Macaca mulatta: one gene and its partners. Each later gene encodes a partner of the first gene's protein in a complex. Links are inferred from orthologs where the notes say so. Each region holds a gene or a part of one and is shown in the gene's direction. Other genes may lie near its edges.

The links.
Region 2: E2F4 (region 1) and LIN54 share a complex: the UniProt entries of both Homo sapiens proteins name them as parts of the DREAM complex. The link is inferred for Macaca mulatta from reciprocal best matches to the Homo sapiens genes E2F4 and LIN54.
Region 3: E2F4 (region 1) and LIN52 share a complex: the UniProt entries of both Homo sapiens proteins name them as parts of the DREAM complex. The link is inferred for Macaca mulatta from reciprocal best matches to the Homo sapiens genes E2F4 and LIN52.
Region 4: E2F4 (region 1) and TFDP1 share a complex: the UniProt entries of both Homo sapiens proteins name them as parts of the DREAM complex. The link is inferred for Macaca mulatta from reciprocal best matches to the Homo sapiens genes E2F4 and TFDP1.
Region 5: E2F4 (region 1) and RBL1 share a complex: the UniProt entries of both Homo sapiens proteins name them as parts of the DREAM complex. The link is inferred for Macaca mulatta from reciprocal best matches to the Homo sapiens genes E2F4 and RBL1.
Region 6: E2F4 (region 1) and MYBL2 share a complex: the UniProt entries of both Homo sapiens proteins name them as parts of the DREAM complex. The link is inferred for Macaca mulatta from reciprocal best matches to the Homo sapiens genes E2F4 and MYBL2.
Region 7: E2F4 (region 1) and RBL2 share a complex: the UniProt entries of both Homo sapiens proteins name them as parts of the DREAM complex. The link is inferred for Macaca mulatta from reciprocal best matches to the Homo sapiens genes E2F4 and RBL2.

The regions. Positions count from the first base shown.
Region 1 is NC_133425.1:62,733,938-62,738,223, forward strand, and holds the start of E2F4 (transcription factor E2F4), read left to right. Parts: upstream 1-1,414; 5' UTR 1,415-1,455; coding exon 1,456-1,590; intron 1,591-1,715; exon of another isoform or gene 1,716-1,769; coding exon of another isoform or gene 1,770-1,905; intron 1,906-1,989; coding exon 1,990-2,099; intron 2,100-2,237; coding exon 2,238-2,399; intron 2,400-2,707; coding exon 2,708-2,751; intron 2,752-3,649; coding exon 3,650-3,711; intron 3,712-3,932; coding exon 3,933-4,233; intron 4,234-4,286. UniProt on the Homo sapiens protein: Transcription activator that binds DNA cooperatively with DP proteins through the E2 recognition site, 5'-TTTC[CG]CGC-3' found in the promoter region of a number of genes whose products are involved in cell cycle regulation or in DNA replication.
Region 2 is NC_133410.1:50,840,978-50,844,751, forward strand, and holds part of LIN54 (protein lin-54 homolog), read left to right. Parts: intron 1-1,902; coding exon 1,903-2,105; intron 2,106-3,774. UniProt on the Homo sapiens protein: Component of the DREAM complex, a multiprotein complex that can both act as a transcription activator or repressor depending on the context. In G0 phase, the complex binds to more than 800 promoters and is required for repression of E2F target genes.
Region 3 is NC_133412.1:147,266,340-147,270,593, forward strand, and holds the start of LIN52 (protein lin-52 homolog), read left to right. Parts: upstream 1-1,451; 5' UTR 1,452-1,458; coding exon 1,459-1,489; intron 1,490-4,254. Other genes in the region: ALDH6A1 (methylmalonate-semialdehyde/malonate-semialdehyde dehydrogenase [acylating], mitochondrial), read right to left, coding at 838-891.
Region 4 is NC_133422.1:107,853,145-107,856,918, forward strand, and holds part of TFDP1 (transcription factor Dp-1), read left to right. Parts: intron 1-27; coding exon 28-149; intron 150-1,552; coding exon 1,553-1,718; intron 1,719-2,186; coding exon 2,187-2,330; intron 2,331-2,813; coding exon 2,814-2,882; intron 2,883-3,774. UniProt on the Homo sapiens protein: Can stimulate E2F-dependent transcription.
Region 5 is NC_133415.1:89,927,979-89,931,752, reverse strand, and holds part of RBL1 (retinoblastoma-like protein 1), read left to right. Parts: intron 1-609; coding exon 610-674; intron 675-784; coding exon 785-913; intron 914-1,024; coding exon 1,025-1,185; intron 1,186-2,796; coding exon 2,797-2,846; intron 2,847-3,774. UniProt on the Homo sapiens protein: Key regulator of entry into cell division. Directly involved in heterochromatin formation by maintaining overall chromatin structure and, in particular, that of constitutive heterochromatin by stabilizing histone methylation.
Region 6 is NC_133415.1:96,521,461-96,525,234, forward strand, and holds part of MYBL2 (myb-related protein B), read left to right. Parts: intron 1-2,913; coding exon 2,914-3,134; intron 3,135-3,774. UniProt on the Homo sapiens protein: Transcription factor involved in the regulation of cell survival, proliferation, and differentiation. Transactivates the expression of the CLU gene.
Region 7 is NC_133425.1:48,962,243-48,966,016, forward strand, and holds part of RBL2 (retinoblastoma-like protein 2), read left to right. Parts: intron 1-958; coding exon 959-1,030; intron 1,031-1,688; coding exon 1,689-1,794; intron 1,795-2,361; coding exon 2,362-2,570; intron 2,571-3,431; coding exon 3,432-3,596; intron 3,597-3,774. UniProt on the Homo sapiens protein: Key regulator of entry into cell division. Directly involved in heterochromatin formation by maintaining overall chromatin structure and, in particular, that of constitutive heterochromatin by stabilizing histone methylation.

The DNA.
Region 1 (4,286 bases):
ATAGGGAGCCAGGGAAGGGACTATAAGGTGGTAATAATTTAGTGGATGTTCAGTCCACCACCCAAATCCACCCTTCAGGACAGAAGTGCTCATTCTCCAGCTGCCAGGAGTGTAGGCTGCTGAGATCAATATTGGGGTGCAAAAGCATGGTACCATCACGTGAACATAAACTCTTCAGAAGTGCTACCCCAATTTCAGAGATCCTAGTGGCATAGGCTGAGGCCTATAATATAATTGCATCTGCCCGATTCTGCTTGTCTTACTCCCTTAAAGGTGTGGATCCTGACCAGGTGTGATGGCTCACGCTGTCATCCCAGCATTGGGATGAGGTCTGAGGATCGCTTGAGCCTATGAGTTCGAGACTAGCCTGGACAATATAGTGAGACTCTCATCTCTACAAAAACTAAAAATAAATGAGCCAGGCATGGTGTGTGCATGCCTGTGGTCCCAGCTACTTGGGAGGCTGAGGTGGGAGAATCGCTTGGGCCCAGGAAGCTGAGATGGCATTGATCTTGCCACTGCACTCCAGCCTGGGCAACAGAGTGAGATCCTGTCTCAAAAAAAAAAAAAAAAAAAAGAAGTGTGGATCCCCAACAAACTTGCTGCAAAACCCTGTCTCGAGTCCCATTTCCCATAGAACCTGACCTAAAAGAAACAATAATAAATAGTAACAATGTTACAAGTAACAAAATGACCCTAGCAAACTTTCCTACATGCCAGAAATGACTCTGAGTGCTTTACTGATATATACACATAGGTAAATACGTTTGCATTGGCTGAAGTGTATATAACCCCATAGTCTCTGAGCACTGTAGCGGGAGGACAAGATGAGCGAAAGATGAGGCTAGGACCATGGATGGAGAGAGGTGGACAAGGTAGATATAGTTAGTGCTTGCTGTTTGGCAGGAAGTGAGGGACAGGAATAGATGGGGTGACCCCAAGACAGTAGGGGAACCTTTAGGAACATTTTTGATGTGGCAGTAAAATGAGTTTGAAATATAAAAGAATAAATAAAGAGAAAAAAATTTAAAAGGAACTGATTTGAGGGAACAGATTGGATTAGTCAGGTAGTGTGGTCTTGTCTCCCGAGATGGGGACTGGGCAGAGTTAGTGATGTTGGGGCAGATTGGCAAGGAAAGTTCCGATGGCATCCCTTTCTCTACTGCCAGGGCTGCCCACTGACGCCCTCCTCATTCCTCCCTAACTTCATCCCAACTCCCGGTCTACCCAGGTAGTTTTCGTCTTATTCGGCGGCTGGACATTTGCTAATGGTCCCTGAAGTTTTGCGGTTGCACCCACAGACAGCAATAGCGCCGCGTTCCCTGGAAGACGCACGGGGCGGAAGCGGAAGCAGCAACGCTGGCTCCGGCTGCCGGACGGCCAGGAACGGAAGCGGAAGTGGCGGCGGCGCCGGCCTGGCCTGGCCTGGCTGAGGGGAGGCGGCGGGCGGACGCGATGGCGGAGGCCGGGCCGCAGGCGCCGCCGCCCCCGGGCACTCCAAGCCGGCACGAAAAGAGCCTGGGACTACTCACCACCAAGTTCGTGTCTCTTCTGCAGGAGGCCAAGGACGGCGTGCTTGACCTCAAGCTGGTGCGGCCCGGGCTAAGGGGCGACAAGGGAGGATGGTGGACCAGGCCTGGGCCGGTAGCGGGAACCCCGGGGGCGGCCCAGCTGGGTCCTCCGAGAGCCGGCCGCCATCGTGTGCTTTCTCACAGGAGAGAAGCCGGGGAATGTTTCATTCATTCGGCCGAGGCCATTGAGCTACAGCTATGGGCCAGGCTCGGGGCTCCAGGTGTTCGTCCTCGTGGCCCTTCCTGGCTGGCGAGGAGAAGAGCTGCCTATGGGACAGAGCTGCGGGCCTGAGCTGCAGTAGCGCCTGGCAGGCACTACAGGGTTGGAATCCAGGTTACTCCCTTCCCAGACCACGTCTCAGGGTGGCTGGGGGTACACCCGAGAGTGGGGCTGAGCATTCTCCACTCTGTCTGCCAGGCAGCTGACACCCTAGCTGTACGCCAGAAGCGGCGGATTTACGACATTACCAATGTTTTGGAAGGTATCGGGCTGATCGAGAAAAAGTCCAAGAACAGCATCCAGTGGAAGTGAGTGGGGATAGTGGGAGGGTAGTAGAGTCTCCCACCCAGAAGTGTCGGGGGTGGGGTGGAGGGTGCCAAAGAAGGCAGGGGCCGTGGGACCCAGAGTTCTCAGCAGTCCCTCTCAGCCCCACTCCCTGGGCTCAGGGGTGTGGGGCCTGGCTGCAATACCCGGGAGATTGCCGACAAGCTGATTGAGCTCAAGGCAGAGATCGAGGAGCTGCAGCAGCGGGAGCAAGAACTAGACCAGCACAAGGTGTGGGTGCAGCAGAGCATCCGGAACGTCACAGAGGACGTGCAGAACAGCTGATATCCTCCTGGCGTTCCCTCCTGGGGGGAGTGGGCAAGGGGCCCTCTGGTTCAACTTGCCCTGGGCAAGCTCCCTGTTCCTCTTGGGAGCTTGTCCTGTGGCCCCTGGCCATGGCCCAGCCTCAGGCTCCCTCCTCAGAGCCTCTCCCCTTCCAGTCTTAGCCTGTGATCCCTCCCCCAGTGGACCTGAGTCCCCAGAACTTTCTCTGAGGGGCCTCTGTGTCAGACCTTGGCTAAAGAATTGGGTCTTTTTTGTAGTCTGCCATCTGTCACCATAGGGCATCGGCCATTCTCCTTAACCCTCACACTTTGGCCTACGTCACTCATGAGGACATCTGCAGATGCTTTGCTGGTGAGCAGAGCCTGGGTAGGGGTGAGGGGGTGGGCTGGGCTCAACCAAATCCCTGAGCACTGGGTTCAGTGTCTCAGGAGAGTTCCGTCTCTTAAGAGGGTTTCTGGGGCCTGCTCAGAGAGGAACCAGGCAGGGTAAGTCTTCTGTCTGAGTGTCACTGGGACCCTGTGGAGGTCAGCTATACCAAGAGGGTACAGGAATTCTGGAGTGGGTTCCTGGGTCTGTTCCCAACTGTACTGTTTCCTGGATTTGGCTTCTTGAGTATGATAGAGGTACAAGGGGGAGAAAGGGAGAGAGGATATGTGTGTATTTGCTTGTGTGCAGGCTCTTACATGCAGGGCATGGGGGTGCCCACCTCCAACTTGTTAGTTTAATTGCATTGTGAATGCAGGATATGTTCCTTTTTTTTCTTTCCTTTTTTTTTTTTTTTAAAAAGAGACAGGGTCTTGCTATGTTGCCAGGCTGGTCTTGAACTCCTGAGCTCAAGCTGTCTTCCCCGCTCAACCCCCTAAAGTGCTGGGATTATAAGTGTGAGCCACTGTGCCCCGCTGATGTGTTTCTTCTCCATCATGTATCCTCCTGACTGGTCATGGGAAAGGGATGTTGGCCTTGGCTAGAATACCTTCACCTAGGGAACAGCCATCGGTGGAAGAGTGAGGTGCCTGTGGCCAGTGATATTTGACTCCACATACTTGAACCCAGATTTCCTGGTTACTGACTCTGGGCTCTCAGGAAGAGAAGAGCTTTAGCTCTGCCCAGCCACTATGGGGAATGGGTGAGGTCCACTGTCTAGTCCCTCAGAGACCATGATCTCCTGCCTTGCTCCAAAAGACAGGCACCTCTGTTCCCAGCTCAGATTGAGCCCATGGGCTCTGACCCATTCTCCATGTCATTCTAGGAGATACCCTCTTGGCCATCCGGGCCCCATCAGGCACCAGCCTGGAGGTGCCCATCCCAGAGGTGGGTGCTTAGCCCAGGCAGGCGGGGTCAGCTGAGGGCGGGTGCTGGCTGTGGAGACTGATAAGTCCCGGGTGGGGCAGGTAGGGGAGGCCTGGAGTTTGGGGTTATCTAGGAGGATGGGCATCCTGGGTGGGAGAGGACACTGGTCCTGACAGAGTCGGGCAGGAGCCAAGCCTGCTTCCAATTCTACCCATCTCCCATCCCTTACCACCCATCTCTAGGGTCTCAATGGGCAGAAGAAGTACCAGATTCACCTGAAGAGTGTGAGTGGTCCCATTGAGGTTCTGCTGGTGAACAAGGAGGCATGGAGCTCACCCCCTGTGGCTGTGCCTGTGCCACCACCTGAAGATCTGCTCCAGAACCCACCTGCTGTTTCCACGCCTCCACCTCTGCCGAAGCCTGCCCTAGCCCAGTCCCAATCCCAGGAAGCCTCACGTCCAAATAGTCCTCAGCTCACTCCCACTCCTGTCCCCGGCAGCGCAGAAGTCCAGGGAATGGCTGGCCCAGCAGCTGAGATCACAGGTGAGGCACCATGGGAGCTTGTGACAGAGGCCCAAGAGGCAGTATCTCTGTGT
Region 2 (3,774 bases), on another chromosome or scaffold:
GCTTATTAAGTATTGCTTTAGTTAGATTACTAGTCAGGCTCACAGTAACCCAGTTAACACAAACTTATATCCATTTATTCCTTAAATGGAATTTATTGGTGTCTTATAAGAAAGGAGCAGAGTAAATGTGTTTATAATGCAGTCCATTTATCTTACTAGGTGGTATAGAGAGAAAGGACAGTTTTATTTATTTATATAGACATGGGTTCACTGAAGAAAATGCAGCTAACAAAAACATACTCAAATTCATTAGAAATCAGGGAAATATAAATTAAAGAACAGTGAAATCTCACTTTATCACCCACACCATCAGATTATAAATTTTTTTTTTTTTTTTTTTTTTTGAGACAGAGTTTCATTCTTGTTGCCCAGGCTGGAGTGCAGTGGCGTGATCTCGGCTCACCACAACCTCCACACCTCCAGGGTTCAAGCGATTCTCCTGCCTCAGCCTCCCGAGTAGCTGAGATTACAGGCATGTGCCACTGGCTAATTTTTTTTTCTCTTTAGCAGAGACGGGGTTTCTCCATGTTGGTCAGGCTGGTCTTGAACTCCCGACCTCTGGTGATCCTCCCACCTCAGCCTCCCAAAGTGCTGGGATTACAGGCGTGAGCCACCATGCCTGGCATAAAATGTTAAAAGGAATTATAATATCCATTGTTGGAGGGAATGTGGGAAATCCTTCCTTTACACATCGCTGATGAGATGTGAGGTATTACAGCCGTTTGAAAAAGCAATCTGGCCGGGCGCGGTGGCTCATGCCTGTAATCCCAACACTTTGGGAGGCCAAGGCAGGCGGATCACTAGGTCAGGAGATCGAGACCATCCTGGCTAACACAGTGAAACCCCTCTCTACTAAAAATGCAAAAAATTAGCTGGGCGTGGTGGTGGGAGCCTGTAGTCCCAGCTACTTGGGAGGCTGAGGCAGGAGAATGGTGTGAACCCAGGAGGCGGAGCTTGCAGTGAGCTGAGATCGTGTCACTGCACTCCAGCCTGGGTGGCTGAGCGAGACTCCGTCTCAAAAAAAAAAAAAAATTAAAATACATGACCTGTTATCCAGTGAGCCCAATTCTAGAAATCTAACTCAGAGAAATAAAAAGGCATAATGTATACCAAAAAAAATACTCTTTATGCATCATTTGTGGTACCCAAGAACTGGAGCCGTTAAATACAATGAATTCAAGCTATGCCAGATGACTTTGGAGGGATTCCATGAGTTGTAGTATAAGAAAAGCAAGATGCAAAAAAGCAGGTATATGACTTTGAAAAACTAAAAAGTGAAAGTTCTGTATTTGTGTATATACATAAGGTCTACGGTTTTATATAAATATATGACATTTTTACATGAAAATATATATTTATATAAAATGTAAAACACACCCTAGTTTCATATGGGTTATTGAAGGGTTTTGGGAATCTGAAGTCCCTCCCGAACTCCCTCTTCAGATTAAAATAGCATAATAGAATAATAAAAATAGCATCTATGAAATCCCTTTAATATGAAATTATATACATATGCATAAATGGGAGATCATCTACATGTTAGTGATGATTTGATTGAGGTGGCTGGATTCTGGATGACCCTTATTTTTGATATTTTAATGTATCATTCATGTTATGAGAAACATGTGTTATTCATATCTGAGGAAAATCTATATCCATAGTGGGGGAAAACTGACATGGAAGGACACAGCCACAAATGTTATACAGCCACTGTCAGACTTAAGAATACCTAACCTAGCTAGCCACATGTGTAGTTACTGTTTGTCAGCCAGAGATGCTTCCATCTAATCTTATTATCAGTTGACCAGGTAATGCTATTAGCTGTTGATTTGATCATGGCATCTACTTCCAGTAATGTATTTTGGTTTTGATTTGGAAACTTTTCTTTTGTAAATCTTTTAGGCAAAAATAATGTGTTCCTCAATATGCAAATGTATTGGCTGTAAGAATTTTGAAGAAAGCCCGGAAAGGAAGACATTGATGCATTTGGCAGATGCAGCTGAAGTAAGGGTACAGCAACAAACAGCAGCCAAGACGAAGTTATCCTCTCAAATTTCAGACTTGCTTACTAGGCCAACACCAGCTTTAAATAGTGGAGGCGGAAAGTAAGTCAGTATTTTAATCTTTTTATAGTATTTCCCAAATACTCACTTTTGATAAAGTTTCTTTTCAGGGGGCAAAGTTGAGTTTATACTTTTGGTTGTTGCAAACCTGATTTTTGCATTTTCTTTCCATCTTTAGTTACTTGTAAAGGAATTTAAAGGTAACAGAAGCCACTGTCAGATTATTGGGCAGTTCGAAAATGCACAGTAATGATTTAGTCCACTGTGCTTAATTTCTACTAAGATGAGGTAATTATGTAATTTGAGGAATCCTAAAGAAAACCAGATGTTTCATATGTCTCGCTGAACGTGTAATTATTGTTTTTGCATTTTCTTACCTTCTCTTGCCTCTTCCATTTCTTGGAGCAGTTTTCCCATCCTATTGGGCCACCCATCACACTGTAATAGTGCAGCTCCTTATTGTTATCTCTTATCTGCTGAGTTCTGGAGTAGAAAAGCTTGACCTCTAAAGTCAGGTAGACTTGAGTTTATACTATCTGTGCTGCTTAGTAGTTTGTGAATTTCTTTGAGCCTCAGTTTTCTTGTCCTTAAAATAGCCTATACCAGGTGGCTGTGAGAAATAAGGCATGTCTGTAATATCTGCAGTGTCTGTCAAGACCTGATAAAACATAGTTTGTGATTTGGACTGGACTGGTATTAGAAAGTTTGTTAGAGGTTAATTTGAGGAATTATTAAATGGAATGCACCTTGCAAATGGCATATGATTTAAAATGCCTAAGTAGGCCAGGCACGGTGACTCACGCCTATAATCCTCGCACTTTGGGAGGCCGCGGTGGGCGGATCACCTGAGGTCAAGGGTTTGAGACCAGCCTGGCCAACGTGGTGAAACCCCATCTCTACTAAAAATACAAAAAGTTAGCTGAGTGTGTGGTGCACGCTTGTAATCCCAGCTACTCGGGAAGCTGACACAGGAGAATCGCTTGGGCCCGGGAGGCAGAGGTTGCAGTGAGCCGAGATCGCACAATTGCACTCCAGACTAGGCAACGAGAACAAAACTCCATCTCAAAAATAAAATGCCTCAGTTGAAAAGGAGATCCAGTGCTTATAAAAATAAGGCTTTTTTTTTTTTTTTCAAATATTTAAGATACTAGTTTTTTGTTTTTTTTTTTCTCTTTTCTTTTTGAGAGATAGTCTCACTCTGTTGCCCAGGCTGGTGTGCAGTGTCATGATCTCAGCTCAGTGCAATCTCCGCCTCCTGGGTTTAAGCAATTCTCCTGCCTCAGCCTCCTAAGTAGCTGGGAATTCAGGCATACACCACCACGCCCAGCTAATTTTATGTATTTTTAGTAGAGATGAGGTCTGTGTTGGCCAGCCTGGTCTTGAATACCTGACCTCAGGTGATCTGTCCATCTCAGCTTCCCAAAGTGCTGGGATTACAGGAGTGAGCCACCGCACCTGGCCTTAAGATATTAAGTCTAAAGAACTCTTATGACTGGAATATAAGCAGCAAATAGTTTTTGACTGAATAAAGTGGAAATGGTCAGACACCTTAATGAGGCTTATAACCTGGGATTCTGGTCTTTAGAGTACTGAATATAATCTCCACATGGAGATTAAAGATACTGCCACAGTAAAATATTTATAATTTTTTAAAATTGGGAAGATGTTTAGGATACGAAAACAAAATTATAAAATTATACATTATAATCAA
Region 3 (4,254 bases), on another chromosome or scaffold:
AGAAGAGCTGATTTGGGGTGGGAACTTAGACTTCTTGTCTTACCTGGCTCCCACTTTCTATCACCTGTTTTGAAAATGTTTAGTACCTTGAACGTACATGGAACATACTGGTAGCGTTAACTGTGTGCCCTTATCTACCCTATGTACATGTGCCCTATCTATGTAAACTGTTTAACTTGGCTGAGAGAAAGTTTCACTGAAAGTTTTGGCAAGAAAGGGGACAGCCAGTCTATGGAAAATACAAAGAGCCACACTTAGGGAAAATAATTCGGTAAATGGCTGCCTTTGGTGAAAATCTAGAGTCCACTTCTAGAAGAAAATTCAAAGTTCATACACTGACCCTCGCCCCTCACGTTCCCCCTCCCTCTTACCTCGGATCACCACGGACAGTGAAGTAGGGTGGGGGAAGGGAGCAATGGCAACGTGGACGCTCAAGGCAGGGGACAGAATAACCAAAAAGAGTAGTTTCTGGGGGATAGAGAGAACGCTGGTGCAGAGGTGAAAGGGAAAGACGGTGGGCGGATGGAGAGATGAGGGCAAGAGACTGACAGCAGGGAGCGGGCAGAGCTGGAGAAGGAGAGTGGGCGAGAGCCAGAAAAGAGGAGGCTTAGGAGTAAAAGGGTAGAGGGCCAAGGGTAACAGCCCAGGGTTGGATCCGGGACGAGGGAGGGTATGAAGTGAGGGCTGGGCATGGGACAGGGCCCACAGGTTAGGTAGGAGGTCCGGCCAAAAAGGGGTTGGGCCAAGAAGGTGGTCCCAGCCCGAGGACGGCTCAGGGAGCGGACGGAAAGGATCCAATTCCTAGCTTCATGGTGCCTTGGCGCCACCCTCACTCGCCTGCAGGATCCTGGCTCGCACTGCCGCCGCCGCCGCCGCCACTACCGCCGCCATGGCTCTCGGCCGCCCTAGCTCCGCAACCCGCTCCTCTACAGCTCAGACGCACTACAGCTGCCAGGCCTAGCCCTCCATCCTGCCGGGCTTCCTCATTGGTGGGGAGGACTATTTTCTTCAGCCAATCACTCGTCCTAACACCTGATTCCTCCTCTCACACCCCAGTCCTGGGGATAAGTGATTGGTCAGGAGCGAAAATGCTCGCACCCTCTCCTACCTCAGCCAATGCCGTTGGCGGAGGTAGAGAAGACGCCCCCGACTTGGACACTCCATACTGAGCACACGGAGGAGACGCCCCCTAACCTGGAACTCCGATTGGCCAAGGACGCAACCGAGGCCCCACCCCTTCACTGAGCAAAGTAAATAAGACCCTCCAAGAATTTTGCTGTCGCTCCACCTCAACAACTGCATAAGGGGCGTGGCTATGATGAGGGGAGGGGCTGGGCGAAGATTGCCCTATGAGGCGAGGGAATGAGACGTGGCTGCGAGTTGGGGATAGGGTTTCTCTTTGGGGGCGTGGCTTATGGATCCTCGTTTTCCCGCCGACGGTTGGCCACGTCACGTGACATGGGTTGGAAGATGGCGTCTCCCACAGACGGTAAGAGCCGGCTTAGGGATGTTTGCCTGCAGCCTCCTTCTTTGCTGTATGGGGAACATCCACTCTGTCTCTGCCCCTCGAACATACATTTCTTTCTTGGGCTCTTCTCCTTTCCCTTTTGTTTTTTTTCTTGCGATCCATCGCCGTCTTCAGCTCACCGGTTCTTCGCAGCAGCTTCAGAGGTGCCCAGTTTCCCTGCTCTGTACCAGGCGTGTGGAGGAGGGCACTAGGGAGGGACTCATTCTGGGTAAAAGGACAGGGGTCGCCCTGGCCCTTCCTTATCTCTATTTGGGCGAGGCTGAGGGTAGAGGAGGAGATGTTACTGGAGGACGTGCCTTACTGTAGTTTTCTCCTTGGGGTATCCCATTGAAAGGATCAGTTCTCTTCTGATTGAGCGCACAGATGGAACGATTCTCAAACCCTCGCAGGGGCTGCTGGCTGACCCCATCTCGATAGTGAACCGCAAGAGAAACATGATCTCTCTCCTGTCTCCTCAGTTTGGGACCATTGCCGTGGCAGCAAGAGAAGCGGGGGACGTTCTCGGCCCCTCGCCGAGAGAGTCGCGAGGAGAATGAGTATTGAGCTTTTAAGTGTTGTCTTGCACAGGTCGCAACCGCTCTTTCATCTGCTTTACGTGTTGTTTCTTAAGGCTGAGTGAATGAACGATTTCTGTTTATATGTTGTGTAAAATGCAAGTCATCTCAAGTAACAAGTTGTTTTGGTATACTCCCATGCTTTTGCTTTTGGTTCTGCTTTAGAGAGGGTCTTGCAGTCATTTTTAAACTCATTTTTAGTTCTACCATCCGCATCCCAACTATATATCGATTTTATTGATATATAGGTTTCCCTCCCTTAGACAAACAGATTTTGTATTTGGAAGGAATCTTGGAAGTTCATTGCAGGAATGAAGAAATTGAAGCCAAGGTGAGCTGTATTGAGTACCTACTACATGAAAGGCATAATGCTAGGTGCTTTGGGAGACCAAAAGATGACTCAAACATACACACTTTTTTTTTTTTTTTTTCCAGTTTCAGTTCTCTTTTTAGATGTCACCTCCCAAAGAGTCTTTCTTAGAACACAGTATCTGGAGTTGCCCTTCCCCACCATTATTCATTGCCTCAGTATCTTCCTTGTCAGCATAGTTACTATGTTAACTTTGCCCCTTGTACGCTAGATTATAAATTACAAGTTTGTCTTGTTCATAGCTGGATTCCAGGTTTAGCACAGTGCCTGACGAACAGTAGGTCTTTAATTAACATGTATTGAAAGATTGATTAGATATGTGCAGAAATAATATATTACTTGATCTTAAGTTTTACGTTTAACCGAGTCTTAAATTTTGTGAGCACAGGTACATACTGTGTTAGAAATTATGGCCGGGCGTGGTGGTTCACACTTCTAATCCCAGCACTTTGGGAGGCTGAGGCAGGCAGATTGCCTGAGCTCAGGAGTTGAAGACGAGCCTAGACAACATGGTGAAACCCCATCTCTACAAAAAAATACAAAAATTATCTGGGTGTGGTGCCGTGCACCTGTAGTCCCAGCTACTTGGGGGGCTAAGGCAAGAGAATCACTTGAGCCTGGGGGTGGAGGCTGCAGTGAACCATGTTCATGTCACTGCACTCCAGTCTGGGTGACAAAGCGAGACCCCGTCTCAAAAAAAAAAGAAGGAAAAACAAGAAATTTGGATGTTTGGAGTCAAAAGAGATTCTCCTTCCTGGGTGCTCTCTTGCAAAAATGTCCTTCTCTCGCCAGAAAGAAAGGCATTTAAAAAGGGAATAGGGAGTTATTGTTAATGGGTACCAAATTTCAGTTTGGGAAGGTGAAAGTGTTCTGGAAATGAATGTGATGATTGCACAATTAATGTACTTAATACCACTGAACTCTATACTTAAAAGTTATTAAAATGGTAAAATTTATGTATATTTCACCACAATTTTTTTAAAAAGCCAAGTGATAGAAATAGAGGTAATTGTTATTAAATTTTTTAGTTTATTTTAAAATTGTTTTTACAAATTTTGGGGATTTTAGAGATGTGTTCCTTGAGTTTGGTTTTTTTTTTTCCTTGTCTTCTCTCAATTTAGTTTCCTTTCTTTGGCCAGGAAGAGTATTAAAAATGTTAAATTTTTTTCCTTTGGTCTTCTAGCCATCCCTATGGTCACTTTATTTGCACTCTTGATTTTTAAAAGTCTTCATTCTCATCTCTTACAAAGTTTTACTCCTCTCCACCTAATGTTTTCTTTTAATCTGAAAAAATCAAGTCAAGCACTTTGAACTTAAATTCAACGTCTCAGTAAGTATCTCATTCCAAAATATTCCATGGCCTAGCTCTCTCACTTCTATTTTTAGTGTTCCACCTGTCACTGTCTTTAAAATTTAATTCAGATAACATTGACTTGAAAATGTTTGTCATTTACTCTTTTGTCTTTTTCGTGATAAATTTGCTGGAGCTTCTTTGAAAAGGAGAAAACTGAAATTCAAATACAGCCATCTAATTACTTAATTTATGAGAGTAAGACTCACAGCAGAGTCTGAGTTCTATCCCAGACTGTGGGATAAGGTCACCCATGTAGGTTATTAGATTGTACCCCCAATAATTTTTTTTAAAATTTTCTTTTAGAGACAGGGTCTCTCTCACTCTATTGCCCATGCTGAAATGCAGTGGTATGATTATAGCTCACTGCACCCTCAAAGGCTCAAGCTATCCTCCCGTCTCAACCTCCCAAGTAGCTGGTACTATAGGCTCACACCACCATGCCCAGCTA
Region 4 (3,774 bases), on another chromosome or scaffold:
TGTCTGAATTGTCTTTTTTGACTATAGGTAATTGGTACGCCTCAGAGACCGGCAGCGTCAAACACCCTGGTGGTAGGAAGCCCACACACCCCCAGCACTCACTTTGCCTCTCAGAACCAGCCTTCCGACTCCTCACCTTGGTCTGCCGGGTGAGCACTTCCCTCCGGACCCTTAGAGTTGTAGGATTGCTTGCGGTTCGCACCTCCACGTTCTCCTGGGCCACGTGCGTGACACAGTCGCACGGTGGGGCTCCCATGCGCATTGATGTCAGCCTCCGAATCACACTCACCCATCATCGTGCCCCGCACAGGTGTGCAGTCGAGGCGCACTGCCTCGGTCACGGAGAAGTCGGGCTGGGCACTGCCCACCCTGCTTTGTGTCTGGTGTAGTGGGTGCTCTTGGAAGGGCTGGCAGCTCTTGGCCAAGACGGGGAGAAGCTGGCCTTGTACTTGCCACAGGACCTTGGAGACTTTTCATCGTCTGTGCTGGGAGCACGCGGGATGGATTTCACCCACTGCCCCTGAATGCAGCCTCTACTGCCCCTGGGGTTACGGCCCCCGTGAGTGGTCCCACCAGAGTGGCTCCTTCCACTAAAGCAAGATCTGATGAGCTGTGTCTTTCCTTAAAAAAACACACATGCAAAGCTACAAAAACCTACCTGTGTCGGTGCCCAAAGCTTCACCAGCTGGGACCGCAGGTGACCTTTCCCGCCACGTGGGGACTGACCAGAGTGTAGAGTTGGGCTTTCCCTCTGTGTGAAGAACACTTAGTGGTTTGCACCTGTTGTCAAGCGGCTATCACAGCCCAAGCCGTATGAAATTATAGCCTGCTGAAATTTGTCCTAAAAATTCCCAAATGTACACTGAAATGTCCCATAGTTCCTGATTCTGGTTGCCCTCTTTAGAAAAGTGATGCCTGTGGCTCACACCTGTAATCCCAGCCCTGTGGGAGGCCGAGGCCGGCAGATCATGAGGTCAAGAGATTGAGACCATCCTGGCCAACATGCTGAAACCCTGTCTCTACTAAAAATACAAAAAAATTAGCCAGGTGTGGTGGCAGGCGGGCGCCTGTTGTAATCCCAGCTCTTGGGAGGCTGAGGCAGGAGAATTGCTTGAACCCAGGAGGCGGAGGTTGCAGTGAGCCAAGATCGTGCCACCGCACTCCAGCCCACTACAGAGCGAGACTCCATCTCAAAAAAGAAAAAAAAAAAAAGAAGTGCTTGGTGTACTGATAGGCCTCTCATATGCTGAGTACTGATAGGCCTTCCATATGCTGATTCGGGTCCTGGGGACGCCTCCCGTTTTCCCTGACACTTGGAAGGACAGAGGTGCAGCCTGCCAGGGAGACACTCGCTTTCTGACCTGCAGGAGCACTGGGCCTGGGGGCTGGGGCTAGGTGGTCCTGGCCTGCTCACGTGTTGGATCTGCTGCGCCCGTGGGATGTGGCCCCTTTTTGTGCAGCTCATTAGAGCTCTCAGGTAAAAGCATTCCTCGATTCAGACTGATGCTCAGGAGGGCTGACAGTCGCTTCTTTTTTCCTTTGTATTTTGAAGGAAGCGCAACAGGAAAGGAGAGAAGAATGGCAAGGGCCTGCGGCATTTCTCCATGAAGGTCTGCGAGAAGGTGCAGAGGAAAGGGACCACTTCCTACAACGAAGTGGCGGACGAGCTGGTCGCGGAGTTCAGTGCTGCCGACAACCACATCTTACCAAACGAGTCAGTAAGTGTGTGCTGGGGGCCGAGAGGCCAGGGTAGCGGAACCAAGTGGTGTGGCACGTTTTACTCTTTTAATATTGGGAACAGTTAAAACCATACAGAAAATTCCAAGTACAGCATGACAGAATTTTTCCCAGTCCATTTGCTGGCATGATGCTCTGTCAGCGTCAGTGAGCGAGCACGTGGGCTGGCTCTGCACATCCAGCGGCCCAGAAATGCAGACGTGCCCTCCTCGCCAGCTGGGCTCGACACCAGAGGGCCCCCAGCTCCCCTCCTGGAACACACCGGGATTCGCACAGCCCTGTCTTGCCCTGCATCATCTGTAGGGTGGGAGTGCTCCCTGAGGACGTGTTGGGGTGACAGCTCTGTGAGCGGGGTGCCCCTTCAAGCCGGTGCGCGTGGCCTACAGTTTAAGGTGGGATCCACAGGCTTTTTTGGATCATTTGGAAAATCCACTCCCTGTCATCCGCAGGCTTATGACCAGAAGAACATAAGACGGCGCGTCTACGATGCCTTAAACGTGCTGATGGCCATGAACATCATCTCCAAGGAGAAGAAGGAGATCAAGTGGATTGGTCTGCCCACCAACTCGGCTCAGGAATGTCAGAACTTAGAGGTGGCCCTTCAACCTTGATTTCCCTTCAAGTCTGTGTAGATGTGTTTGTTGTCCGTCACTCAGAAGGGTCTGGGCTCCATGCCCTTATGCTCTCTGTGTCCAGACGGCTGGCAGACGGTCATGCAGACGTCTCCCTGCGTTTCTCAGTCTCGGCTGTCAGGGGAGGGAGCATGGTTGGTCCAGACCCACTAGAGTGTGTTAAACTCTAGCATAGGTTAATTGTGAATCCTAGTTTGTGGGATTTTTGTTTTCTTTTTAGATACCATAGTTAAATCCAAGAAATGAGAGGAGAGGGGAAAAGGTATAGTTTAGAAATGGAAGAAAAACTCACCTGTATTTTGTGGCACCTGCTATGTCTAGATTTGTCCATATCCCTTCGATTACATTCAAGGTAAACATAGGTAACACTGAGGATGCGGGTTGTAAAATGCACTGTATGGAACAATCGTGATGATTCTCTACATGGGGGGTTTGTTTTTGAAGGTGGAAAGACAGAGGAGACTTGAAAGAATAAAACAGAAACAGTCTCAACTTCAAGAACTTATTCTACAGGTAAGAGAATACATATCTTTGGAGGCAGGGTAATTTTTATTTTACTAATTTAGTTTTATAACAGCAACATACTGCCTTGGGTTACGCTCCTGTGTGGCAAATTAAATGACTGCTTTAAGATTCTGAGTGTGAGTTCATCTCATAGGTGTTGAATGTGGGCCGTGTTCCCAGAGCGAGGTTGTGTATGTGTGTGCGTATGCATGCATGCGTGCGTGTGTGTGTGCATGTGTGTGTGCACCTGCGTCCATGTGCCTGTGTGTGTGCATGTGTGTGCATGCCTGCGTGTGTGCCTGCGTGTGTGTGCACGCATGTGTGTGCGTGCCTGCGTGTGTGTGCCTGCATCCATGTGCCTGTGTGTGTGCATGTGTATGTGTGTATCCCTCGTCACAGTGTCTAAACAGCCAAAAGACAGATGGAGGGATGACTTCATGCAAAAGCAGCATTTGAAAAATCCCCTCAGAGGTGCTTAACCCAAGGCCCAGGTGCCAGGCGAGGCATGTAAAACTGTGGTGGGCGCAATGCACCTGGGTCTTGACAGTGCTGATCAGGGCCCTGGAGCTGGCCTTTCCCACCTCCCATTGAGTGCTGAGGGTGGGCGGCACCCCTGGGGGCCCCGTGTCTGGTGTGGAGGGGGTCGTGTGCAAGGTGCTCAGTGCAGAGCTGACTGCTGCTCTGGCCGAGGTGTGCTCGAGCCCTCCCAGAGGGGATGGTGTGGCAGCCATGGTGATGGAGACTCGTGGGCGAGAGCTGCTCAGGGCCACAGAGTCTGTCAGGAGGGACAGTCCTGGTTGCCAGTGCCTTAGTACCTGCCCAACGGGGATAGACCCAGGGTGGCCGGGAGAGGAAGGGAATCTCCTGGCTCTACATTAATAGCAGAGAAGTTCTCTCCAAG
Region 5 (3,774 bases), on another chromosome or scaffold:
TTCGAAAGTCTGTTTTTTATGAAAAGTATTCCTGCAAAGAGCTTAATTATTTTCTTTTTAAATCCATGTACAATTATCCATATTTGGAAATTCAGAATAATACTTTTACTTATTTTTCTTTCTTTTTTTTTTTTTTTGAGATGGAGTCTTGCTCTGCTGCCCAGGCTGGAGTGCAGTGTCGTGATCTCAGCTCACTGCAACCTCTGTCTCCCAGGTTCAAGCAATTCTCCTATCTCAGCCTCCTGAGTAGCTGGGGTCACAGGTGTGCACCACCCTGTCTGGCTGATTTTTTATATTTTTAGTAGAGATGGGGTTTCACCGTGTTGGCCAAGATGGTCTCCAACTCATAACCTCAGGTGACCCACCCACCTCGACCTCCCAAAGTGCTGGGATTACAGACGTGAGCCACCGCACCTGGCCCTATGTTCTGATTATTTTATGTAGATTGTAAAGGCTTACTTAAGTCCATTTCATAAATAGTAGATCACTTTTCTTCATGAATGGAATTTCATGTGTAATTTGATCTATTTGATATTTATATTTACTATTTCAGTTTACATGATATTTAGCAAGCTAGTCAGACAAAAAGTAATTTTTTTCCCTTTTTAGGAGGATTCCTTGCAGTGTTAAGGATCTGTTTAATTTCTGTTGGACACTTTTTGTTTATACTAAGGGTAAGATGACACTTTCAGTGGTCTTACATTTCTACTGTGGGAACTTGGTTCTATTTGACTTGAGAGGTTTCTGGTTTTTGTGTCTTTTCTTTTTTTCCCCCCTTATAAAGGTAATTTTCGGATGATTGGGGATGACTTAGTAAACTCTTATCATTTACTTCTATGCTGCTTGGATCTGATTTTTGCCAATGCGATTATGTGCCCAAATAGACAAGACTTGCTAAATCCATCATTTAAAGGTAAGACCTTTTATTTATTTTTGAAAACTGATTATCAGTTTTTGGAAGAAGATTTTTGAAAGTTGAGCATATTTTTTTTTTCCCTCTGCTCTTCCTACACTGTCAAACTAGGTTTACCGTCTGATTTTCATACTGCTGACTTTAGGGCTTCTGAAGAGCCGCCCTGCATCATTGCTGTACTGTGTGAACTGCATGATGGACTTCTAGTAGAAGCAAAAGGAATAAAGGAGCACTACTTTAAGCCATATATTTCAAAACTCTTTGACAGGAAGGTACTGTACTTATAATTAGATGACTGAGATGTTTACAGGTCAGCAGCAGTAGTGTCAGAAGAAAAAAAAGTTTTAAGCAAGTTCTCAGCATTATAGAACTTAGGGTCAGGATTCCCAGGCTTTAGCCTCTACTGTGATTCGGAATTTCCTTATGATCTTGTGTGATGTGAGAAACAGAGCTGTTGAAAAATGTGACCAACTATATGTTCTGTTAGGTAAACATACTGTCAGAGGCAACCGCAGTCCCAGCTATCAGGGACTGTGTAGGAGGTACTGATAAAGAATTGTAAAGAACAGAACATCAGAGTAGGGCTGACAAAGAATTAGGAAAAACAGGAAGTCAGAATAAGCTGACTAATTTACTGCCACAATTTGAATAACGGCTGACTGTTGACTAAAAGTCGGATGATGTATAACAACCACAGTTTTTTGTTTTTTGTTTTTTGTTTTTTTTTGAGACAGAGTCTCGCTCTGTCACCCAGGCTGGAGTGCAGTGGCCGGATCTCAGCTCACTGCAAGCTCCGCCTCCCGGGTTTACGCCATTCTCCTGCCTCAGCCTCCCGAGTAGCTGGGACTACAGGCGCCCGCCACCTCGCCCGGCTAGTTTTTTTTTTTTTTTTTGTATTTTTTTAGTAGAGACGGGGTTTCACCGTATTAGCCAGGATAGTCTCAATCTCCTGACCTCGTGATCCGCCTGTCTCGGCCTCCCAAAGTGCTGGGATTACAGGCTTGAGCCACCGCGCCCGGCCAACAACCACAGTTTTAATTCCATGTAAATCGAGCAGAAAATCCATGATAGTTTTGTAGCCACTTGTAAGCTATCTGTGTGCATTCTGGACATTTTCTCCTTAGTAATTAACTTAGCTATTTCTACATTTATGAATTGGCTTGTTCCTCTGGGTCTCAATTTCTTACTTCCCCAACATCAAGCCATTAAATGTAGTTAGGCCTCAAGATTTCTCTTTGGTAAAAGGAGGGGTTTGGATTACGTATCCCACTTTTCAAATATTAAGAGATTTTTCTTTAAGCATAAATTCTTCCCTTACTGGTTTCTTCTTCTTTTATGCAAACTTTTGTATTCAGTTTTGTGTTCCTCAGATATCTATATTATGGCCCATTGTCTGTATGCTAAACATCTCTAGCAAAGTAAACTTTTTTTAAAGGATCCCAGGGACTGGGCGAGGTGGCTCACGCCTGTAATGCCAACACCTTGGGAGGCCAAGGCAGGTGGATTGCTTGAGCCCAAGAGTTCCAGACAAGCCTGGGCAACATGGCAAAACCTCGTCTCTACAAACAATACAAAAATTAGTAGGGTGTGGTGGTGCACGCTTGTAGTCCCAGCTACTTGGCAGGCTGAGGCTGCAGTGAGCCATGATTGTACCACTGCACTCCAGGCCTGGTGACAGAACCAAACCCTGTCTCAAAAAAAAAAAATTTTTTTTTAATGTTATTTGCATGCTAAATAGTTTATCCTAGTCTGAAAGAAATATTTAATTATTCTGTTTTGTGTGTGTGTGTTATAACAATATGGAAATTTAGATAAATTTCATGTTTGTGTGTGTATTAATATGCTTAATTATATAGTGTCCCAAAATAATTTTTTCTTCACAGATATTAAAAGGAGAATGCCTCCTGGACCTTTCAAGTTTTACTGATAATAGGTAAATATCTGGTACTAGTGGTGCCTGGCATATCACAAGCTGTCGTATTTGTTGATTTGTTGAAATTTGTTAAGCATAACATTATATCAAAGTAAGACCTCCAAATTCAAGTTCTGTCTGCTTTAGTGGCATTGAATGGGTATTGTCACTAAGACTTGTTGGCTTTAAATACATTTATTTTAAGAAATCAAGGCTGGGCACGGTGGCCCACACCTGTAATCCCAGCACTTTGGAAGGCCAAGGCAGGCAGATTGCTTTAGCTCAGAAAGTTGGAGACCAGCCTGGGCAACATGGTGAAACCCTGTCTCTACAAAAAATACAAAAATCAGCCGGACATAGTGGTGTGAGCCTGTAGTCCCAGCTACTTGGGAGGCTTAGGTGAGAGGATCGTTTGAATCTGGGAGATTGAGGTTGCAATGAGCCGTGATTGCACTACTGCACTTCGGTCTGGGTGACAGAGTGAGACCCTATTTCCAAAAAAAAAAAAAAAAAAAGGAAAAAAGAAAGAGGCCGGGCATGGTGGCTCACGCCTATAATCCCAACACTTCAAGAGGCCAAGGCGGGCCGATCACTTGAGGTCAGGAGTTTGAGATCAGCCTGGCCAACATGGTGAAACCCCATCTTTACTAAAAATACAAAAATTAACTGAGTGTGGTGGCAGGTACCTGTAATTCCAGCTACTTGGGAGGCTGAGGCAGGAGAATTGCTTGAAACCAGGAGGCACAGGTTGCAGTGAGCCGAGATCATGCCACTGCACTCTAGCCTAGGCAACAGAGTGAGATTCCATCTCAGGGAAAAAAAAAATTATTGACACTTATTTATTTTTATTTTTATTTTTTTAGAGACAGGATCTCACTGTGTTGCCCAGGCTGATCTCGAATTCCTGGCCTCAAGCAATCCTCTCGCCATAGCCTCCCAAAGTGCTAGG
Region 6 (3,774 bases), on another chromosome or scaffold:
GCTGGAGTACAGTGGCACAGTCACGGCTCATTGCATGCAGTCTCAACCTCCCAGGCCCAAGCAATCCTCCCATCTCAGCTTCCAAAGTAGCTGGTACTACATGTGCCACCATGCCTGGCTAATCTTCTTGAAAAATTTTTGTAGAGACAGTGTCTTGCTATGCTGCCCAGGCTGGTTGAACTTCTGGGCTCAAATGATCCTCCCATGTCAGCCTCCCAAAGTGCTGGGATTATAGGTATGAGCCACTATTCCTGTTCTTTCTTTTTTTCTATTTTTTGAGACTGAGTCTTGCTTTGTTGCCCAGGCTGGAGTGCAATGGCGCGATCTTGGCTTACTGCAACCTCTGCCTCCCGGATCTAAGCAATTCTCTGCCTCAGTCTCCTGAGGAGCTGGGATTACAGGCTCCCACCACCACTCCTGGCTAATTTTTGTATTTTTAGTAGAGATGGGGTTTCACCACGTTGGCCTGACTGGTCTTGAACTCCTGACCTTGTGATCCACCCACCTTGGCCTCCCAAAGTTCTGGGATTGCAAGCGCAAGCCGCTGTGCCCAGCCTTTTTTTTTTTTTTTTTTTTAATTTATAGAGACAGGGTCTTCCTATGATTCCCAGGCTGGTCTTGAACTACAGGGCTCAAGCTATCTTCTCACCTTGGCCTCCCAAAGTTCTGGGATTATAGTCATGAGCCATGGCTGGCACTTCACCTTGAAATTAATTTTAATTAACTCAGTGTGGTGGTAGGGTGCCTGTAGATGGAAGGCGAGTTGGGAGGATCATTTGAGCCCAGGAATTCAAGGCCGCAGTGAGCTATGATCACACTACTGCATTCTAGCTTGGGTGACACAGTGAGACCCTGCCTCAAAAAAAAAAAAAAAAATAAAGCCTGGGTGTGGTGGCTCACGCCTGCAATCCCAGCATTTTGGGAGGCTGGGGTGGGTGGATCACCTGACATCAGGAGTTCGAGGCAGCCTGACCAACATGGCGAAACTGTGTCTCTACTAAAAATGCAAAAATGAGCCTGGTATGGTAACGCATGTCTGTAATCCCAGCTGCTTGGGAGGCTGAGGCAGGAGAATCACCCGAACTGGGGAGGCGGAGGTTGCAGTGAGCCGAGATTGCGCCATTGTACTCCAGCCTTGGCTGTAAGAGTGAAACTCTGTCTTGAAAAAGAAAAAGAATGAAATTTATTTATTTATTTATTTATTTTTGAGGTTGAGTTTCGCTCTTGTTGCCTAGGCTGGAGTGCAATGGCATGATCTCAGCTCACTGCAACCTCTGCCTCCCAGGTACAAGCGATTCTCCTGCCTCAGCCTCCTAAGCAGATGAGATTACAGGTGCACGCCACCATGTCTGGGTGATTTTTGCGTTTTTAGTAGAGAGGGGGTTTTGCCATGTTGGTCAGGCTGTTGTCGAACTCCTGACCTCAGGTGATCCACCCGCCTCGACCTCCCAAAGTGCTAGGATTACAGGCATGAGCCACTGGGCCCGGCCTGAGACCTTGTCTCTTAAGAATAAAATAAAATTTAGTTTGAAAATACTTTTTTGCCTGAGTGTGGTAACTCACACCTGTAATCTCAGCACTTTGGGAGGCTGAGGTGGGTGGATAACTTGAGGTCAGGAGTCTGAGAACAGCCTGGCCAATATGATGAAACCCCATCTACCAAAAAATACAAAAATTAGCAAGGTGTGGTGGTGTACCTGAATCCCAGCTACTTGGGAGGCTGAGGCTGGAGAATCGCTTGAACCTGGGATGCAGAGGTTGCAGTGAGCTGAGATCGCCCCCCTGCACACCAGTGAGACCCTGTCTCTAAAAAAGTAAAAACATAAAATTGGGCTGGGCGCGGTGGCTCATGCCTATAATCCCAGCACGTTGGGAGGCCGAGTCAGGCGGATCACCTCAGGTCGGGAGTTCAAGACCAGCCTGACCGACATGGAGAGACCCCGTCTCTACTAAAAGTACAAAATTAGCCGGGTGTGGTGGCGCATGCCTGTAATCCCAGCTACTTGGAAGGCTGAGGCAGGAGAATCGCTTGAACCTGGGAGGCGGAGGTTGTGGTGAGCCAAGATTGTGCCATTGCATTCCAGCCTGGGCAACAAGAGCAAAACTTCATCTCAAAAAATGAAAATAAAGTAAAAACATAAAATCTTTAAAAAAAACAAAAACAAAAAACAAAGTGATATGTGGTTGCTATAAAAATTTAAACCATACAGAAATGAAGTCAAATATTTATTCACCAAAATCTTTGCCAAAAGAAGCATCCACTCTTCCCAGTTTCTTGTGGCCTGTGTGCACACGAGAATGTGTGTGTCTGTTGTATAGGCAGGGCGTGGCCTGGCTCTTGTGGCTGAGTATGTTGTGGTTTGTGTCCTGAGCTAGGAAGCCTGACTGAGGGCAGGTGGGGACTCAGGTCCAGCTAGGTCAGCCCGCCATGCCTGCTACCATGGCTCAGCCTGTGCCCTCCCAATTTCCACAGAAGTGCTGGGAGGTCTTGTGGCAGCCTGGGGCATGGCCGGGGTGGGAAAGTCTATTTCCCACCTTTAGTTTGGACCCTTGTGGTTGTTCCTCCTCATCCCTCTGCTCTTTTATACTTAGCTTATTGGGTTGAGCCCTGAAGAGGGAAGCAGGACTCTGGTGCCTTTGTTTACCCCGGCTTGATCTCTGCTCTAGAAAGAGTCGCTGGCATTCTTGACCTAGATTTATTCCAGGCAGTAAATGAGAGGGGTGTGGTCAGATCCTCAGGTAGGACTTATGGGCTACACAGAGTCATACTGCGTGGCATCCCCTGCCACCCGCTCCGTGTTGCCTGAGGGGATGTGGTAGGTGGCACCTCCCAGGGCCGTGGCAAGGCTCAGGTGGATGTGAAGGGCGAGGGAGGGGCTGGTGCAACTGGCTACCCAGAGGCTTTTCTCCAAGGTCATCGAGCTGGTTAAGAAGTACGGCACAAAGCAGTGGACACTGATTGCCAAGCACCTGAAGGGCCGGCTGGGGAAGCAGTGCCGTGAACGCTGGCACAACCACCTCAACCCTGAGGTGAAGAAGTCTTGCTGGACCGAGGAGGAGGACCGCATTATCTGCGAGGCCCACAAGGTGCTGGGCAACCGCTGGGCCGAGATTGCCAAGATGTTGCCAGGGAGGTAAGCTGTCTTCTTGGGGGTTGGGGCAGGTTCTCAGGAGGCCAGGCCCATGTTTCTGATGGAGGAGGGTTCCTTGGTGGGTACTGTGGTCCTATGCTCTTGTTCTCTAACACCCAGCCTCGGCTTCAGGACTCCCAGAGGCATGCATAGTCGGGAGGAAGGGTGGTTCCCCAGGAAGGCCCTGTCTTCTGTCAGCTTAAAAGAACAGATGGTGATAAGGGAGGCCTCAGCAAGAAAGTGAGAACCCTGGAGTCTAGTTCTCATCCAGTTCCCAGCTCACTGTGTCTTCTTGGTTAGCCTCTTCTCTTCGACTTCAGTTTCTTCTAACACAGAATAGACTTGAGATGTGGAGTAGATGGGCTTTCTTTAAGAAGAAAATGTATAATCCCAGTACTTTGGGAGGCCGAGACGGGCGGATCATGAGGTCAGGAGATCGAGACCATCCTGGCTAACACGATGAAACCCCGTCTCTACTAAAAATACAAAAAACTAGCCGGGCGAGGTGGCCGGCGCCTATAGTCCCAGCTACTCGGGAGGCTGAGGCAGGAGAATGGTGTAAACCCGGGAGGCGGAGCTTGCAGTGAGCTGAGATCCGGCCACTGCACTCCAGCCTGGGCTACAGAGCGAGACTCCATCTCAA
Region 7 (3,774 bases), about 14 Mb from region 1:
GTAGTTTCTGATTAGAAGTCAAATTTTATTTTATTGGGGTTTCCCTGTAACTGAAAAGTTGTTTTTCTCTTGATGCTTTCAATATTTTCTCTTTCTTCGGCTTTGAGCATTTTTACTGTGATATATCTGGTTATAGATGAGTTTATCCTACTTGCAAGTTACTGAATGTCCTGGAGATGTAATTTAATAAATTTGGGAAGTTTTCAGTATTTCTTTGAACATTTTTTTCTGCTTCTTTCTCTCCTCTCCTGATTCTCCCATTACACTTATGTTGATTTCCTTAATGCTGTGCCACATTTCTCTGAGGCTGTTTATTTTTCTTCATTCTTTCTCTGTTCTCAGATCACACCATCTCTTCACGTTTGCTAATCTTTTTGGTTTTTTTGCTACTTCAAATCTATTTTCCCTAGCTTCTAGTGAATTTTTCATTTCAGTTACTGTAATTTTCTACTCCAAGTCTTTTTTTTTGAGATGAGTCTTGCTCTGTTGCCCAGACTGTACAGTGGCTCAATCTCAGCTCACTGCAACCTCCGTCTCTCGGGTTCAAGTGATTCTCCTGTCTCAGCCTCCCTAGTAGCTGGGATTACAGGCACATGCCACCATGCCTGGCTAATTTTTGAATTTTTAGTAGATACTGGGTTTCACCATGATGGCCAGGCTGAACTCCTGACTTCAAGTGAGCCACCCTCCTCGGCCTCCCAAAGTGCTGGAATTACAGGTGTGAACCACCGCAGCGGCCTCTAAGTCTTGATTCACATATTATTCTTAATGAATTTTAATAGATATTCTTGAATCGATGTATCTTCATTTGCTATATGCCTTTAATACCATTTCCAGAGACTTTAAATAGCTTTTATATAATTTTCACCCCTTTTACTGGGCAGCAGGTTCACACAGCTCCTCACACTATTATGGTGGAAGTTGTTGTATCTCTCAGAGCACTCTTATTGTTTGCCAGGTCACAAAAGAAGATAAGTCCTTCCAGAATATTATGCGTTGTTATAGGACTCAGCCACAGGCCCGGAGCCAGGTAACTACATTTTCTCTATGAGCTGAAAATAACGCTTAAAGTCTGTGATGAATACAAAAAATTAACCATAGTTGACTCTGTGGCCTTTTTTTCCAAGATAAACACCTGGGACTCTACTTAAGGGAAATTTCTGCTTTAATCTTCTTTATTCTTGATGTCACATGTTGATTAAGTTCTCTTTTCCTCAGAAGGCAACAATGTTAAATATTTGATTGCCTTCTCAATTCAGAAAAATCACAAGATAGATTGGAATTAAGAAGTTACTTGGTTTCTATGTCACCATTCTGGTTTAGTAAACATACTGTACGTTTAACCAAGAGAATGTCACATGGAAATTTAAAACCCACTTTGCCTTTATTACGATTCGTCTCTGAGAGGCAAATTGGCAGATCTGTGTATCTGACTTAGAATGACTTGACTTTATGGTTGGGTGCTGTTACCGCAGCGTGGTACTGCAAGTAGTACTTGGCATGTGAAGCTAGATGGGCTCTGATTGAATCTTAGATCTGTTATAATTTGAGTTATGTTTCTTAACCTCTTCTGAGGACAACTATTGCTACACAGATTATTGTGAAAAGTAACATATGTCAAGGTCCTATCACCAAGGGTGTGCTCAACAAATACTAGTTTACATCCCCTTCTCATTATTTCTCTAAAGGTGTATAGAAGTGTTTTGATAAAAGGGAAAAGAAAAAGACGAAATTCCGGCAGCAGTGATAGCAGAAGCCATCAGAATTCTCCAACAGAACTAAACAAAGATAGAAGTAAGTGGGATCTTTGTGAACTACAAGACAAAATTAGGAGCTTTTCTTACTTTTTAGGACTTGAAGTAACCATTACTAAATGAAATAACTATAGAAACTATGAAAGTGTATAAACAAAGGGTTTAATGGATCAGTAAACCAAATTCTGGGTGGCAAAACTGTCCATTCCATAGCTTTGGGGCACATATTCTATAACATTTTTCTCCAGGAGAATTAGAGCTTTCAGTGAGGAATCTGCTTGCCTGAGTTTCAGAAAGGACTGACATGTCAGTTGGAGCCATGCTATGGAAATACCATCCCCTACCTGTTGGTTTGTCCTAGGGCTTAGGTCCTAGAAAACTTGGTGTAGCTTATTAATACTACTCAGAAAGCCCTTGCTATGGTTATGGCATAGGGATATCAAGTTAAAATCCTAGCTGAGCTTTGCCTTTTGGTGTGAAGAACAGAATGCCTATTCACTGTTATTAGCAAGTAATGCAGGTAGCTGTTCCCTTTCTCCTACTTTTTAAAAATTAAAACAATCTATACTAGCAGCTTTTGTATTGACACCCTGTGTTCTCCTGGAAGCAGCCAGTAGAGACTCCAGTCCAGTCATGAGGTCAAGCAGCACCTTGCCAGTTCCACAGCCCAGCAGTGCTCCTCCTACACCTACTCGCCTCACAGGTGCCAACAGTGACATGGAAGAAGAAGAGAGGGGAGACCTCATTCAGTTCTACAACAACATCTACATCAAACAGATTAAGACATTTGCCATGAAGTACTCCCAGGCAAATGTAGTAAGTATTACAGGGATCATTTCATGCTTTTTTCATGAGTATTGAGGAATTATTTATGATTTATATATGGACCATTCACCTGGTCCATATATAAACTAGTTTTGGCCAAGCGTGGTGGCTAACACCTGTAATCCCAGCACTTTGGGAGGCTGAAGCGGGCAGATCAGTGGAGGTCAGAAGTTCGAGACCAGCCTGGCCAACGTGGTAAATAAAACCCAGTCTCCACTAAAAATACAAAAATGAGCCAGGCGTGGTAGAACACATGTGTAATCCCAGCTACTCTGGGGGCTAAGGCAGGAGAATTGTTTGAACATGGGAGGTAGAGGTTGCAGTGAGCTGAGATTGCGCCACTGCACTCCAGCCTGGGCGACAGAACGAGACTCTGTCTCATAAATAAATAAGCTAGTTTTACAAATAATTCTATTAAGTAAAACTGAGGAGGTCTGTAATTTACCTAACCAACATAAGTTCTGTTGTTAAGCATTAAACAAGAATAAGATTGTATTTGGAGTCCCTACAAAGTATAGTAGTACAAGAGACAGGCTACATGGGTTCAAATTGTCTAGTACGTAACAGTAGTGGTAACCTTGCAAATCATTAAATTTTCTCTGTACCTTGTTTCCTCATATATATAAAACATGGGAATATAACTAGTTCTTAGCATATGGAGTTGTAAGGATGAAATGACATAATGTATAAAAATTGCTTAAAATAATAACTGGCACAAACTAAGCACTTAAGGTTTGCTATTAGAATGTTTTTCTTTAGGTTAAATTAGTGCTAATATATCACTCTTATCATTCTCAGTAAAAATACCTCATTATAAATTTCTTAGAGTTACTGATTTTTTTTTTTTAACAGATGGATGCTCCTCCACTCTCTCCCTATCCATTTGTAAGAACAGGCTCCCCTCGCCGAATACAGTTGTCTCAAAATCATCCTGTCTACATTTCCCCACATAAAAATGAAACAATGCTTTCTCCTCGAGAAAAGATTTTCTATTACTTCAGCAACAGTCCTTCAAAGGTGAGCCTAACATCAATCTTGGCCTTTACTAACCCCAAAATGCTTCAGATGCTAGAAAGAGGGTTTGTGCTAAGCCTAGGCACTCATTAGAGTGATGAGAGCTACCAGGGAGCAGTGATCAGTCAGTTCCCATGCAGCAAAACCCAGGATTTGTTGTTTTTTTGCTTTTCTTGAGGGT